Sus scrofa: one gene and its partner. The protein of the gene in region 1 purifies or fractionates together with the protein of each later gene. This does not show direct contact. Links are inferred from orthologs where the notes say so. Each region holds a gene or a part of one and is shown in the gene's direction. Other genes may lie near its edges.

Region 1 (5,444 bases):
CTCAGAGCTGGCCTCAGGCGTCTGTTCTTTGCCCCTGAGGCCATCTCCATGGAGCGGTGGAGACCCTGGTGGCTTGGTCCGTCCAGTCCCTGCGCGGTGTCCCCTCACCTTGGAACATCTCCTGTCCCCTAGAGCTTGGCCTCAAGCTGGCCTCCTGACAGCCCTGCGCCCTCGGCTGGCCTCACGCGGTGCAGCTTGTGACGCTCCTCTCCCCGCGCTGCGGGCAGGGTCCCCACCCCAGGGCCTGCGCCCCCCGCCAGGCCGGGGTGGCCCCGACGTTGGCAGTAAATGGTGCAGAGGTCAGCAGCCCTGCACTTGAAGACCAGGCGGCCAGACCTGCCCACCTCCAGGGTCGTGAAGGTCACGTCCGAAGGCCGCTAGGGCCGTGGAGGGTCTGCGTGGAGTGGCTCTGAGTCCAGAGGGACCGGTGCCTGGACAGGTGGCCGTTGGACTCATACCTGTCCCACCTCTGCAGATAGGTGTGTGCCCACGGATGTGTGCAGCCGGCAGTGCCCCTGTCAGCTTGGGTGTCTGGGCCGCCCATCCTGAGCTGCCAGGCCCCGGCTTGGGTGCCCTGCTGCTGACCTGGGTCCCCACAGGGCCTGGGGGCGTGGGGGGCAGGGGCCGCCCTGCGGGGCCGGGGCTCTGGCAATGTCGCGGACGCCTTTCTCTTGGTGCTGCCTCCACCAGTGGGGGTCTGGGAGGGCGGCAGGACTGTCTGGGCTGTGAGGAGTTGGGGGGCGGCCCTGGTCCGTGGCCTGTGACTGTTGAGTCTGTCGGGGTCACAGGGAACCATCTCAGTCACGCGTGGGGTGGAAACCGTCGGCTCTTTGAAGCGTTCACAGAGAACCTCCTTATCCTCACACGGCCCGGGCTTACAGCTTGGAAGTACGGCGCGCATCAGAGGTGCTTCTGGGGAGTTCCCACCAGGGCTCAGTGGGTTAAGGACCCGACTGGTATCCATGATGTGGGTTCGATTCCTGCCCTCGCTCAGTGGGTTAAGGATCCAGCGTGGCTGTGGCCTAGGCCGGCATCAGCAGCTCTGATTTGACCCCTAGCCTAGGCACTTCCGTATGCCGCGGGTGCGGCCACACACAAAAAACAGTGCTTCCGATTCCCAGCCTGGTCCCTTTAGACAGGAACGCACGCGCATGTGTGTGTGTGTGTGTGTGTGTGTGTGTGTGTGTGTGTGCACGCATGCGCGCGCATGTGTGGGCTTCCGTTTGCTTGGTGCGCGCAGGCTCTGCCAGGCAGGGCCACTCCCAGGGTGCCCAAGCGCCTCTCCTGGTGGTCGCTGTGGAGGCACAGCCATTGGGGCCCCGCATGAGCACCGTGGTTCCGCCGTCCACGAGCGCCGGAGGCAGGTGCGCGAGGGGAGCGCACGGGGAGCCTGGCGGCGAGGCCCCAGCCGGCATCTCGGCCCACAGGCTCGCTGCCCCTGGCCTCCCAGGAGGCGGCCGTGGTGGAGGACCTGCTGTACGTGCTGGTGGGCGTGGACGGCAGGTACATCAGCGCCCAGCCCCTCACGGGCAGGCAGGGCCGCACCTTCCTGGTGGACCCCAACCTGGACCTGTCCATCCGCGAGCTGGTGAGCAGGATCCTGCCGGTGGCCGCCAGCTACTCCACCGTGACCAGGTAGATGCGGGAAAGCTGCTCAGCCCTCTCTGGGGAGAGGCCCCGGGGAGCAGGGACGAGGGCGCCTGGGGTGTCTCCTGGGGAGGAGCTGCGTGCAGGCGGCCTGGCCTCCTGAGGCGGCTGTGCCCTGGGGCTGGGCTGTGTGCCTTTCGTGCTGCAGGTTCATCGAGGAGAAGTCCTCCTTCGAGTACGGGCAGGTGAACCACGCCTTGGCGGCTGCCATGAGGACACTGGTGAAGGAGTACCTGGTCCTGGTCACGCAGCTGGAGCAGCTGCAGAGGCAGGGCCTCCTGTCGCTGCAGAAGCTCTGGTTCTACATCCAGCCTGCCATGCGCTCCCTGGACATCCTGGCCTCCCTGGGTGCGGCCCGGGCTGGGGTGCTCAGCCTCCACTGCTCACGGTCGCGAGAGCCAGGCTGTGTAGCTTCGTGGGGAGTTAGCTGGTGTGTGGGCGGAAGACAGGGAGCGGTCAGGGGAGTGGCCAGAAAGTGCAGCCTTAGAGTTTGAGTCCATCCCACAGAGAAAGCCTGTCCCGCATTCCCGTCGTGGCCCAGCAGGTTAAGAACCTGACTGAAGACCAAAAAAAAGAAAGAGAAAGCAAGCCCGTCCCCCGAGGAGGCGAGAGGGGCGCCAAGGGGCTCTGGCCCGGCACGGGGACCCCGTGGCACTGAGCCCTCTCAGCACTGAGCCCCGCCTGCCTCCTCCCCTGGCAGCCACCTCGGTGGATAAAGGCGAGTGTATCGGCGGGGCGACCCTGAGCCTCCTGCACGACCGCAGCTTCAGCTACACGGGCGACAGCCAGGCACAGGAGCTGTGTCTGCACCTCACCAAGGCCGCCAGCACGCCCTACTTCGAGATCCTGGAGAAGTGGATCTACAGGGGCATCATCGACGACCCGTACAGGTGGGCCCCGGGGCGCCCGCGCGGGCGGCAGGCCCTTCTCAGCATGGCACCTTGCGGGCCCAGAAGGAGGCGGGGCGGGGGCTCCCGACGCGTCCAGCTCGGACGGGTGTCTGTCAGCTTGAAGGAGGAATCTGCTGCCCAGAAATAGTTTTCTCGGTCAGCGGCCCAGTAGCAGCGCCTCGTGTGGAGGCCTAACGAGGACGCCCTCCCACGGTCGCGACGAACGCAAGCGACCTCTGGCCCATGACGAGAGGGCGCCTGCTCTGTTGGTGACAGGCACACGTGCCTGATGGGAGTGCCGTTTTGTTGCCCAAGCTCGAGGTTCCAGCAGGAGGGGCGACAGCAAAGAGGCGTCAGCCTCTCGTCCGCTCCTGGGGCCCCTGCGGCGAGGCCGGCGGGTCCACCCGCACACAGCTGAGAGCCAAGGGCGCTGCGGCTCGCGCGGCCCTGGCCGCCCCTCCAGCCCGGCCGCCCTGCCTTTCAGCGAGTTCATGGTGGAGGAGCACGAGCTGCGCAAGGAGAAGATCCAGGAGGACTACAACGACAAGTACTGGGACCAGCGCTACACCGTGGTGCAGCGGCAGATCCCGTCCTTCCTGCAGAAGATGGCCGGCAAGGTGCTCAGCACAGGTGACTGCTGCGCCCAGGCGTGGGCGTGTCTCAGCCCCTGGGGACACCTCAGTTCGGACACCAGCTGCTCGGGGTCGGTGCAGGCCCCACTGGGTGAGGGCTCATTCCCCCGAGCACCGCCCCCCCCAGACGCCAGCCACAGGTGCCGGGTCCTCAGGCCACAGCACCTCTGTCCACCGCCCCTCCTCCTGTTGCTGTGACGGCTCCCGGAACCCGGGGGACACTTGACCCACGGGGTTGCTGGCCTGCTGTAGAGGACGTGGCGAAGGATGCAGGTGGCCAGCCCGACGTCCCCGGGGCAGGTCTGGAGGGGTCGGTCCTGAGCACAGGGGCGGCTGGCCCCGTGGAGCTGGGGTGCACCGGCCATCCCCCCGCCCCCAGCCCCCAGCAGCTCAGAGGCTCCCAGACCCCTTCCCGCGGGGTTTTCACGCAGGTCCGGCCACAGTGGACCCCCGGCCTGGTGATTCGCTCAGCCTCCAGCCTCCAGCCCCCCGGACGTGAGCTGAAACGGGGCCGGAAGGGTCCGCTCTCTGCTCACGTGGTGCTTCCTCTGGCCCCTAGCCCCGTCCTGACGCTCTGGAGGGACGGCCAGGAGCAGCCCCATTAGCCTGGACTCCGAGGGGTGGAAGGGGCCTGTGAGCAACCAAATCCCGAGGGTTTGAGGAGCTCAGGGCCGGGAACGGAGACCAGCTGCACGAGGAGTCTTAGGTCACAGTGTCTCAGGCCAGCTCAGGAGTCAGTCAGGGACACAGGCCCCACGTGGGTCAGGAACCTGACTAGAGACAGGTGTGGGTTCTGAGGGCCGGGCTGGGGAGGGTTGGGAGCTGATGTAGTACCTGGTCCCTGTGAGGCGCTGAGATGAGTCTGTGTCCCTGATGAGAAGAGTGCACACACGAGGGGTCACGGGAGATGGCAGCCCTTCAGGGGCGACAGCTGTGCTGCTCCGCTCTGGGCGAGGGGCTCCCAGGACGCTTAGCTGGGCCCTGCTCTTCCCGTCCCCTGGCCAGTGTTTGGGCTGCAGCGTCTGGGGTTCAGGCCTGCGATTTTATGACGTAAGCAGCAAAAATTGTAATGCGCCTTCCTGTGTCCCTCTCCAGGGAAGTATCTAAACGTGGTCAGAGAATGTGGTCACGATGTCACCTGCCCAGTGGCCAAAGAAGTCGTCTACACACTGAAGGAGCGGGCCTACGTGGAGCAGATCGAGAAGGCCTTCAGCTACGCCAGCAAGGTGCTGCTGGACTTCCTGATGGGGGAGAAGGAGCTGCTGGCCCACTTGAGGTGCGCCGGCCCGCTCGCACCGGGCTCTGCAGCCCGAGGAGCCCCACTCGGTCCCACCTGATGCCCCAGAGGCCGGCCAAGGGTGGTGTCTGCCCGTGTCCCCTTGTCTGCCGTGGCAGGGCTCCCTGACTGGGCCACCAGCCCCTCCTGGGGCCCCCTCTGAAGTCCTTCACAGCGTTTCTGGCCGCATCTCCTCCTGCACAGCTGGGCTTGGTGGTCCCGGGTCCCTGCTGCAGGTTTCCGCTCATTTTGAGCCAACCCCGCATCCCCTGTGAACGTACCTCCTGCTGTGGGCACCAGTGGGAGGCCCCGTGGGTGTGGACCCCCGGGGCCTGGGGGGCCCGCCGGCCCCAGCGCCCAGGCCGTCCTCAGGTCCGCAGCCTCCCGCCCCACCCGCCCGCCTGCAGGTCCATCAAGCGCTACTTCCTGATGGACCAGGGCGACTTCTTCGTGCACTTCATGGACCTGACGGAGGAGGAGTTGAAGAAGCCGGTGGACGACATCACACCCACCCGCCTGGAGGCGCTGCTGGAGCTGGCCCTGCGCATGAGCACGGCCAACACCGACCCCTTCAAGGATGACCTCAAGGTGGGCTGGGCGCCGGAGCCGCCGGAAGGAGGCGCTGCAGACGGCAGCCCCCGACGGCGGCCCTTCCTGCCTCGGTTCACACGCTCGCGTGGGTCTCCTCGGCTCGCGTGGGTCTCCTCGGCTCGCGTGGGTCTCCTCGGCTCTGCAGGGCCGCCAGTGCTGAGCGCCTGCATCCTGGGCTCAGTCCCTCGGGTCGCGGTGTGTGAGCCTTGCCAGCCAGGGCTGCGGTCTGCGGCCGTGGCTGTCCCGCAGGCGTGTGGGCTGGTCTCTGGCGTCTCTGGCCTCGTAGCCCCTCTGCTCGAGCGGTTTGGAAGTTTCCGGAGGATCCGAGAGGATGCTGGCTGCAGGGTTTGGTAGCATTCACCCAGGACCCTTCCTGTGTTGCGAGGGTCTGAGTATTTCTTGACTCCT
Region 2 (6,231 bases), on another chromosome or scaffold:
GAATCGAACTGGAGCTTGTAGCCACTGGCCTCCACCACAGCCACAGCCATGGCAGATCCAAACCACGTCTGTGACCTACACCACAGCTCACAGCAACGCTGGATCCTTAACCCACTGAGCAAGGCCAGGGATTGAACCTTCCTCCTGGTGGCTACTAGCCAGATTCATTTCCGCTGAGCCACGATGGGAACTCCAAGATTTACTTCTTTTTCTTTCTTTTTTTTTTTTGTCTTTTTGCTATTTCTTTGGGCTGCTCCCACGGCATATGGAGGTTCCCGGGCTAGGGGTCGAATCGGAGCTGTAGTCACCAGCCTATGCCAGAGACACAGCAACGCTGGATCCGAGCCGTGTCTGCAACCTACACCACAGCTCACGGCAACGCTGGAGCGTTAACCCACTGAGCAAGGGCAGGGACCGAACCCGCAACCTCATGGTTCCTAGTCGGATTTGTTAACCACTGCGCCACGACGGGAACTCCCAAGATTTACTTCTTTTTCAAACAGTCTGCAAGCTAAGAACGGTTGACAAAAAAATCTGAAAGCTTACTATTTCACAACATGTGAAAATTACATGAAATTCCAAGTGTCCATAGGTAAAGCTTTGTGGGAACCATGCCACATTTATTATTTAAATACGACTTATGGCTGCTTCCGTAATACAAGGCAGAAGTGCACAGCTGCAACAGCAACCAGATAAGCTGCAAAGCCTAAAATATTTATTATTTGGCCCTTGAAAGAAAAATTTTGCTGACCCCTGCGTTAGAGTATAAGCTCCTTGAAAGTTTTGTCCTGTGACCCGGACTTGTTCAAGATGTCACCTCTGTACCCAGCACTGTGTTCAACCCAGAGCATTCAAATAATGTTTGCTGAATTTGTGAGAATAGATAATTAAACGACATGGCTTCTTCTCTATTACAGTGTTAGTACATATGTCATCAACCACATTATCTAGCTGAACCCACAGTTGTAGGAAACTAACACATTATCTATTACACTAACATGAAATCCTAAGTATGTAAAATAAAAAGAAATGCTAATTTAAAAAATCTGGTTAACTTATTTTTTGCCCAACAACTATATTATAATGAATGGTACAATTAAAAAGCACATTCCAGATACATATGTTCCAGGATAAATCACCTACTTATCTTGTAAAGTAAGATATTTACATTCAAAGCTATTTGTAAACACTAGTCAAGCATAACTTACTGGTAATTTTGTCGATTTAAAAACAGAAGGACTGGAGAGAGTTTGTTCATGGAGACTAGAATAATCACCAGGACTTTCGAAAGGATTTAAAACAGGGATCCTTCCTGGCGTTTCAGGTGTTATCTGCATTTTTGATTCTTTGACATCTCCCATAGCGCAGAGAGAAAACTAAAAAGAAATCATAAGTGTGTATAAAAGGACAAAGTTTCAGACATTCATTTTGACAATTAAAATATATTCAACGAACATTTCATAAAAGAATTAACTCAAAAGCTAGCACTCTTGGGATTTTTAAAAAATAGTTTAACAAGAGCTCCACATACATTTTCTCAAGGGTGATCCTCTAAATAACTTAGAAAGCTAGAGGGGGAAGGTGCTGGAGAGAGATTTTTGCAGAAAATCTACAAGCTCAGAGAATTTAAGTGGCTTACAAGTACCAGTCCAAATATGAGAGTTCCGGTCCACCTTCTAGGCAACTAAAGTTCACAACAGGCACAAAGCCTTTTTCAACTAAAGAATTTATACCTACAGTTTTTTTTTTTTAATTCATTATCTCAAGTCTCTAAGCACTTTGAGCATAATTCGGAGAGCCCAGTCATTTCCTAGAAAAATGCAATTACTAAACATCAGTTATTTACAGCAAGCAAATAAGAGACCAGGAAGCTTGTGCACCGTGCCCTTCTTGCACATTAAAGAGAGTGTGCCTGTTTAGGGCTAGGAAACTAACCGCTTTCGGCTGCCTTTTCTCGAACACCCTCGTTTCCCTAAGACCCCCAGGACAGAAGGCGAGACAATTATTTCCTGTCAAAGGAAGCTACAACCAGAGAAAAAGGACCTACTCCTTGGAAGGCTGATGTGCAGCTGGCCTCCTCGGGTGAAGAGCAGAGGAGGGCACTCACGCCGGTGTCATCGCCAGCCCTACTAGACCACTCTTTCTTGGCGCCCCTTCTTCCGCACCTACTCCCTGGCAGCTCCCATTCATCCCGGGAGAGCCGGCAGGCAGGTCCGGAGCTGGGCAAAGTGAGCTCTCCAATTCGAGACAGGAGGAAAAGCCAGGAACTACAGACAACGTACCTAGCTGTGTGTTTTTAAAAAAAAAAAAAAAAAAGAAAGCCCCCCCGCAAAGCGACTCCAGGACGCCCCGGGGGTGCCAGGCCGGCTCACACGACAGGCAGACTCTTTAACTCCCCGCTTCCGCGCTGTCTTAGGCCAACCAGGGCTCTGGCCCTGTGGGCGACTGGCCAATCGCGCCGCACCGCTGTCCGCGAACCAGCCAATCGAGTCGAGGCCGCGTAGTAAATTCGAATGGCAACTCCTCGCTTCGCATTCCGCGTAGAGTAACGAGGCTCCAAATTCAAATCAACGCAGCCTCACGCCGGCGACGGGCGCGAGGGGCGGGGCTGCCAGGCGTGGGCGGGGCCTGACCGGCGTGAGAAGGGGACGCGCGGTGTGATTGCCCAGGAGAAAGGAAGGCGCTCCAGTTCCGGGTCAGGCCCTTCGCTACCCTTCCTCGGCCTTCACCATGGCGGGTAACAGCGGCTCCGGGGCTGCGGCGGCGGCGAATCTGAATGCAGTGAGGGAGACCATGGACGGTGAGTGCCCGTTTCGCCCCCCTTTACCTTGCATCCGTTCCTTAAAGCCAGCGCCCCCAGGCGGGGGTGGGCCCAAAGGGACTTCAGGTCCACTTCCTGGCCTGATCTGCATCTTTGGGGAGTCTGTCAGGGCACCCCGCCAAGGCCGCGGGGCTGATGGCCTCATCCCTTCGGAGTCGTCTTTTCGCTCCTGCGTAGTTTGTCGCGCGCACAGCGTTGCGGCCCCACGTCAGCCCGGCGCGCGCTCAGCCTCTGTCGCGCTGGACCGCGCGCGCAGTCCGTGTCCAGCGTGCACATCCCACGCCCCCTCCCGCGCCTCTCTCCGGGTGCGACGCCCCCCTCCCCACGCCGTGGTCTTGCGTACCCGAATCCTGCCACCGGAACGCTCAGCCCACGCCCCCTCCCTATGCCACGCCCCCTCCCGCTTCGAGTTCCCGCGTCCTTCCTCTGGTGCGGGCCTTGCCAGCCCCGCCCAGCTGGCTCACTCCCTCTACTGCGGGGAGCGCCTCAGAAGCCTCTGCCAGACTTTAAGCCCCTCGCGGAGAGCGGCCTCACGTGTTTGGTCACCGCTACATCTTTTGTCCCTTGCACGTCAGCAGGCGCATTTTAAATAGACCGTGAAGGAACAAGTTGTGCGTTTATCAAAAGTGCAGCGGACCGGTTTAGTCTTGGAGCAGGTGATGCCTGTGTCGAGGGCTCTGGGCGTATTTACCTGTTTTTCGAGTCCCGAGCACGGGGGTAAAACCTACCCGCAAGTAGTAGAAAAATAATCGCGTGGAAGTTATCCTCTCCTCTCTGCCACTTTCTACCCCAGGTGGTGGTGGGCTTGGACAAGCTGCTTAGACATCCTTGAGCTTGCTTTCCTCCCCCGCCCCCCGTAAAACGAAGTTACCTAGAGTTGTGTGAATATTTAAATAAAAAACCAAGTAAGGGCATCTCAGAGATAGTTAAAAGATAGTTCCTGTACTTTGTGTATAAGATGTTATCCCACTTGCGGACGCCTCATTTGCGTCCCCCTGTATATGAGGATTTGATGCATGTTAAAACTTTGCATTTTCCAGAGGATACCACCTCACCTTCTAATTCTGTCAAAACTAGAAATTTTCACAGGTAAGCATTGTCAGCCTTCATGCCTCATCTCTGTCTCACTGTAAGGTCCATTTCCTATCAGAGCCACTCTTTGTGGAGACTTCTGATAATGCTTCTGCCTTTTTTTGCACTGGCTGGCTGCTCTCCTTTTCAAAAAGACTTCTTTATATTATTAGCGCTTTGGGGTCTAATATTTTACTTAGTTGCTGCTTTGCTATTTTTCTGAAAAATAGACTTTTTTTCTTAACTCCGTATTCAGCCTGTTTCCCATCCTTATTGATATATCATAGCTTATTAGGTGTTAAGTGGATTTGTTTACATGGTAACTATATGTGAACAACGTTATGGTCTTAGATATCCATGCTTGGAAGCCAGTGTGGTTTTTGAACAGGATGGAGGGTATATGAAGCCTGACTTGTAGGCAGTTTTCTTTATGTTAGCTGTGCTTAGGTTCCTTAATTATATGGCCACAATATCCCATTTGAATAGAAAACTGACATTTTCTCTCTGGTGGAACAACTGATGTAGAAAGGAGAACCAATCATTTGTATTGGTTACATTATCAAGATTTTTGCCGAGAGAACTTTATGTAAAATGAAGATTACAGAGTATAAGAACATGAAAAGGTAAAGAAAGACCAGGCTTTTTTTTTTTTTAAACCAGCATCGGAGGCGAGCATGTGTGAATTAAAGAACACTGCTCCTCTACACATGGTTTGCCCACAATCCAAAAAGTAAAAAGGAAGGCCCCAGGTTGCCAGTGAATCAGGATCTGTTAAATGTGCTTAGGAACTGTCGTGTCCATTAGAACTCCAAACTTACAGAAATTCTGTGCTGTCTTGCCATAATTGGGTCCAAAATAATCAGTCACATAAAATGTGAAGTTTAATTATTGCTAAGTTAATGAAACTATTTTCCATGCCACCTCGGATGATTAAGGCACAAAGGGAAACGTTGTGACACTTGGCAATGTTAATAATTGACCCTACACATTGCTGTGGCTCTGGCATAGGCCGGCAGCTGCAGCTCAAATTAGACCCCTAGTCTGGGAACCTCCATGTGCCGAGGGAGCGGCCCTGGAAAAGGCAAAAAGATCAAAAAAAAAAAAAAAAGAATTTGACCCTACATGGAACTGAAAAAAGTACTAAATGCAGCCATTTCATAATCCCCCCCAATTCCTAGAAATAGAGCTCTAACTTGCCCAAGGAACTGGGCTAAACTACTCAGGCACCATTATTATGTGAAATTCTGCCAGTGTGGGGTTTCACTGTAGTAGACTGAAGTGTTCAAAACCTTTTGGGTCTGGCAACCCTCCTTCAAGATCTAGTATATTTCTCTTCATTCTCTTCCTCCCTCCCTCCCATCCGTATTAAGAGTCAGCTCACAGTGCTTTAATCTTTTAAGTAATGTCAAATGAATGATTCGCAAGGGTTGTAGAATTCAGCTATGAACATTTGTAATTTTATTGTGAAATGAAAGGATTTTGATATGCACAGATCACTGGAAAGGACCTAATGTGATTTAGTAAAGGGTCTGTTGTAAAGGGCCTCCTCGGTGCTCTCTGAGAGCCTCAGCTTCTCGTTTCCTCTTTGAAATGTGAGAGGATCTTTCAGCTACCTTTCTCACTCCTCCCGTATACTTAATTGTCTCTCGTTTTTCAACATTTTGAAGTTTTAGATACTCTTTGTTGATAGCTTCATACTTTAATTATTCTTTTCTTTCTTTTCTTTTTTTTTTTTTTTTTCAGCTTTTTAGGGCCTCACCTGCTGCATATGGAGGTTCCCAGGCTAGGGGTCGAATCCGAGCTACAGTTGCTGGCCTACACTACACAACAACGCCAGATCCAAGCCACATCTGCAACCTACACCACAGCTTGCGGCAATGCTGTCCTTAACCCACGGAGCGAGGCCAGGGATCGAACCTGCAACCTCATGGTTTTCCTAATCGGAATCGTTTCCACTGTGCCATGATGGGAACTCCCTAATTCTTATTTTCTTAATGTTCTAGAATTTTTCATATGCCTCTAATTTCTTACTACTAGATATTGTTTTTGTTAATGGTGATTATAAAGTACCTCTTCCTTGGTAGAGGCTTCAAAGTAAAGTTGTTCCGCAATATTTGCAGGGCACTTGGTTCCGGGACACACATCTGCCCAACACCCACACCAAAATCTGTAGATGCCCAAGTCTCTTATATAAAATGGCCTGGCACTTGCATAACCTGCATATATCCTCTTGTATTCTTTAAATCATCTCTCAGTTGTTTGTAATTCCTGATAAATGCAAATGCTCTGTAGATAGTTCTCAGCATATGCATATTGGCAAATTCAAGAGGTTTTTTGTT

Evidence for each region. The genes of interacting proteins can lie anywhere in the genome.
Region 2: the proteins of TUBGCP2 (region 1) and MZT1 purify together in Homo sapiens (affinity purification with mass spectrometry; 4 studies listed by BioGRID and IntAct, counting the BioPlex papers as one, with this or other methods). This does not show direct contact. The link is inferred for Sus scrofa from reciprocal best matches to the Homo sapiens genes TUBGCP2 and MZT1.

What each region holds. Positions count from the first base shown.
Region 1 is NC_010456.5:141,239,093-141,244,536, reverse strand, and holds part of TUBGCP2 (gamma-tubulin complex component 2), read left to right. Parts: intron 1-1,427; coding exon 1,428-1,635; intron 1,636-1,795; coding exon 1,796-1,995; intron 1,996-2,347; coding exon 2,348-2,537; intron 2,538-3,021; coding exon 3,022-3,167; intron 3,168-4,264; coding exon 4,265-4,445; intron 4,446-4,852; coding exon 4,853-5,033; intron 5,034-5,444. UniProt on the Homo sapiens protein: Component of the gamma-tubulin ring complex (gTuRC) which mediates microtubule nucleation.
Region 2 is NC_010453.5:45,015,286-45,021,516, reverse strand, and holds the start of MZT1 (mitotic-spindle organizing protein 1), read left to right. Parts: upstream 1-2,507; 5' UTR 2,508-2,730; coding exon 2,731-2,800; exon of another isoform or gene 2,801-3,866; intron 3,867-6,231. Other genes in the region: BORA (protein aurora borealis), read right to left, coding at 1,209-1,361. UniProt on the Homo sapiens protein: Required for the recruitment and the assembly of the gamma-tubulin ring complex (gTuRC) at the centrosome.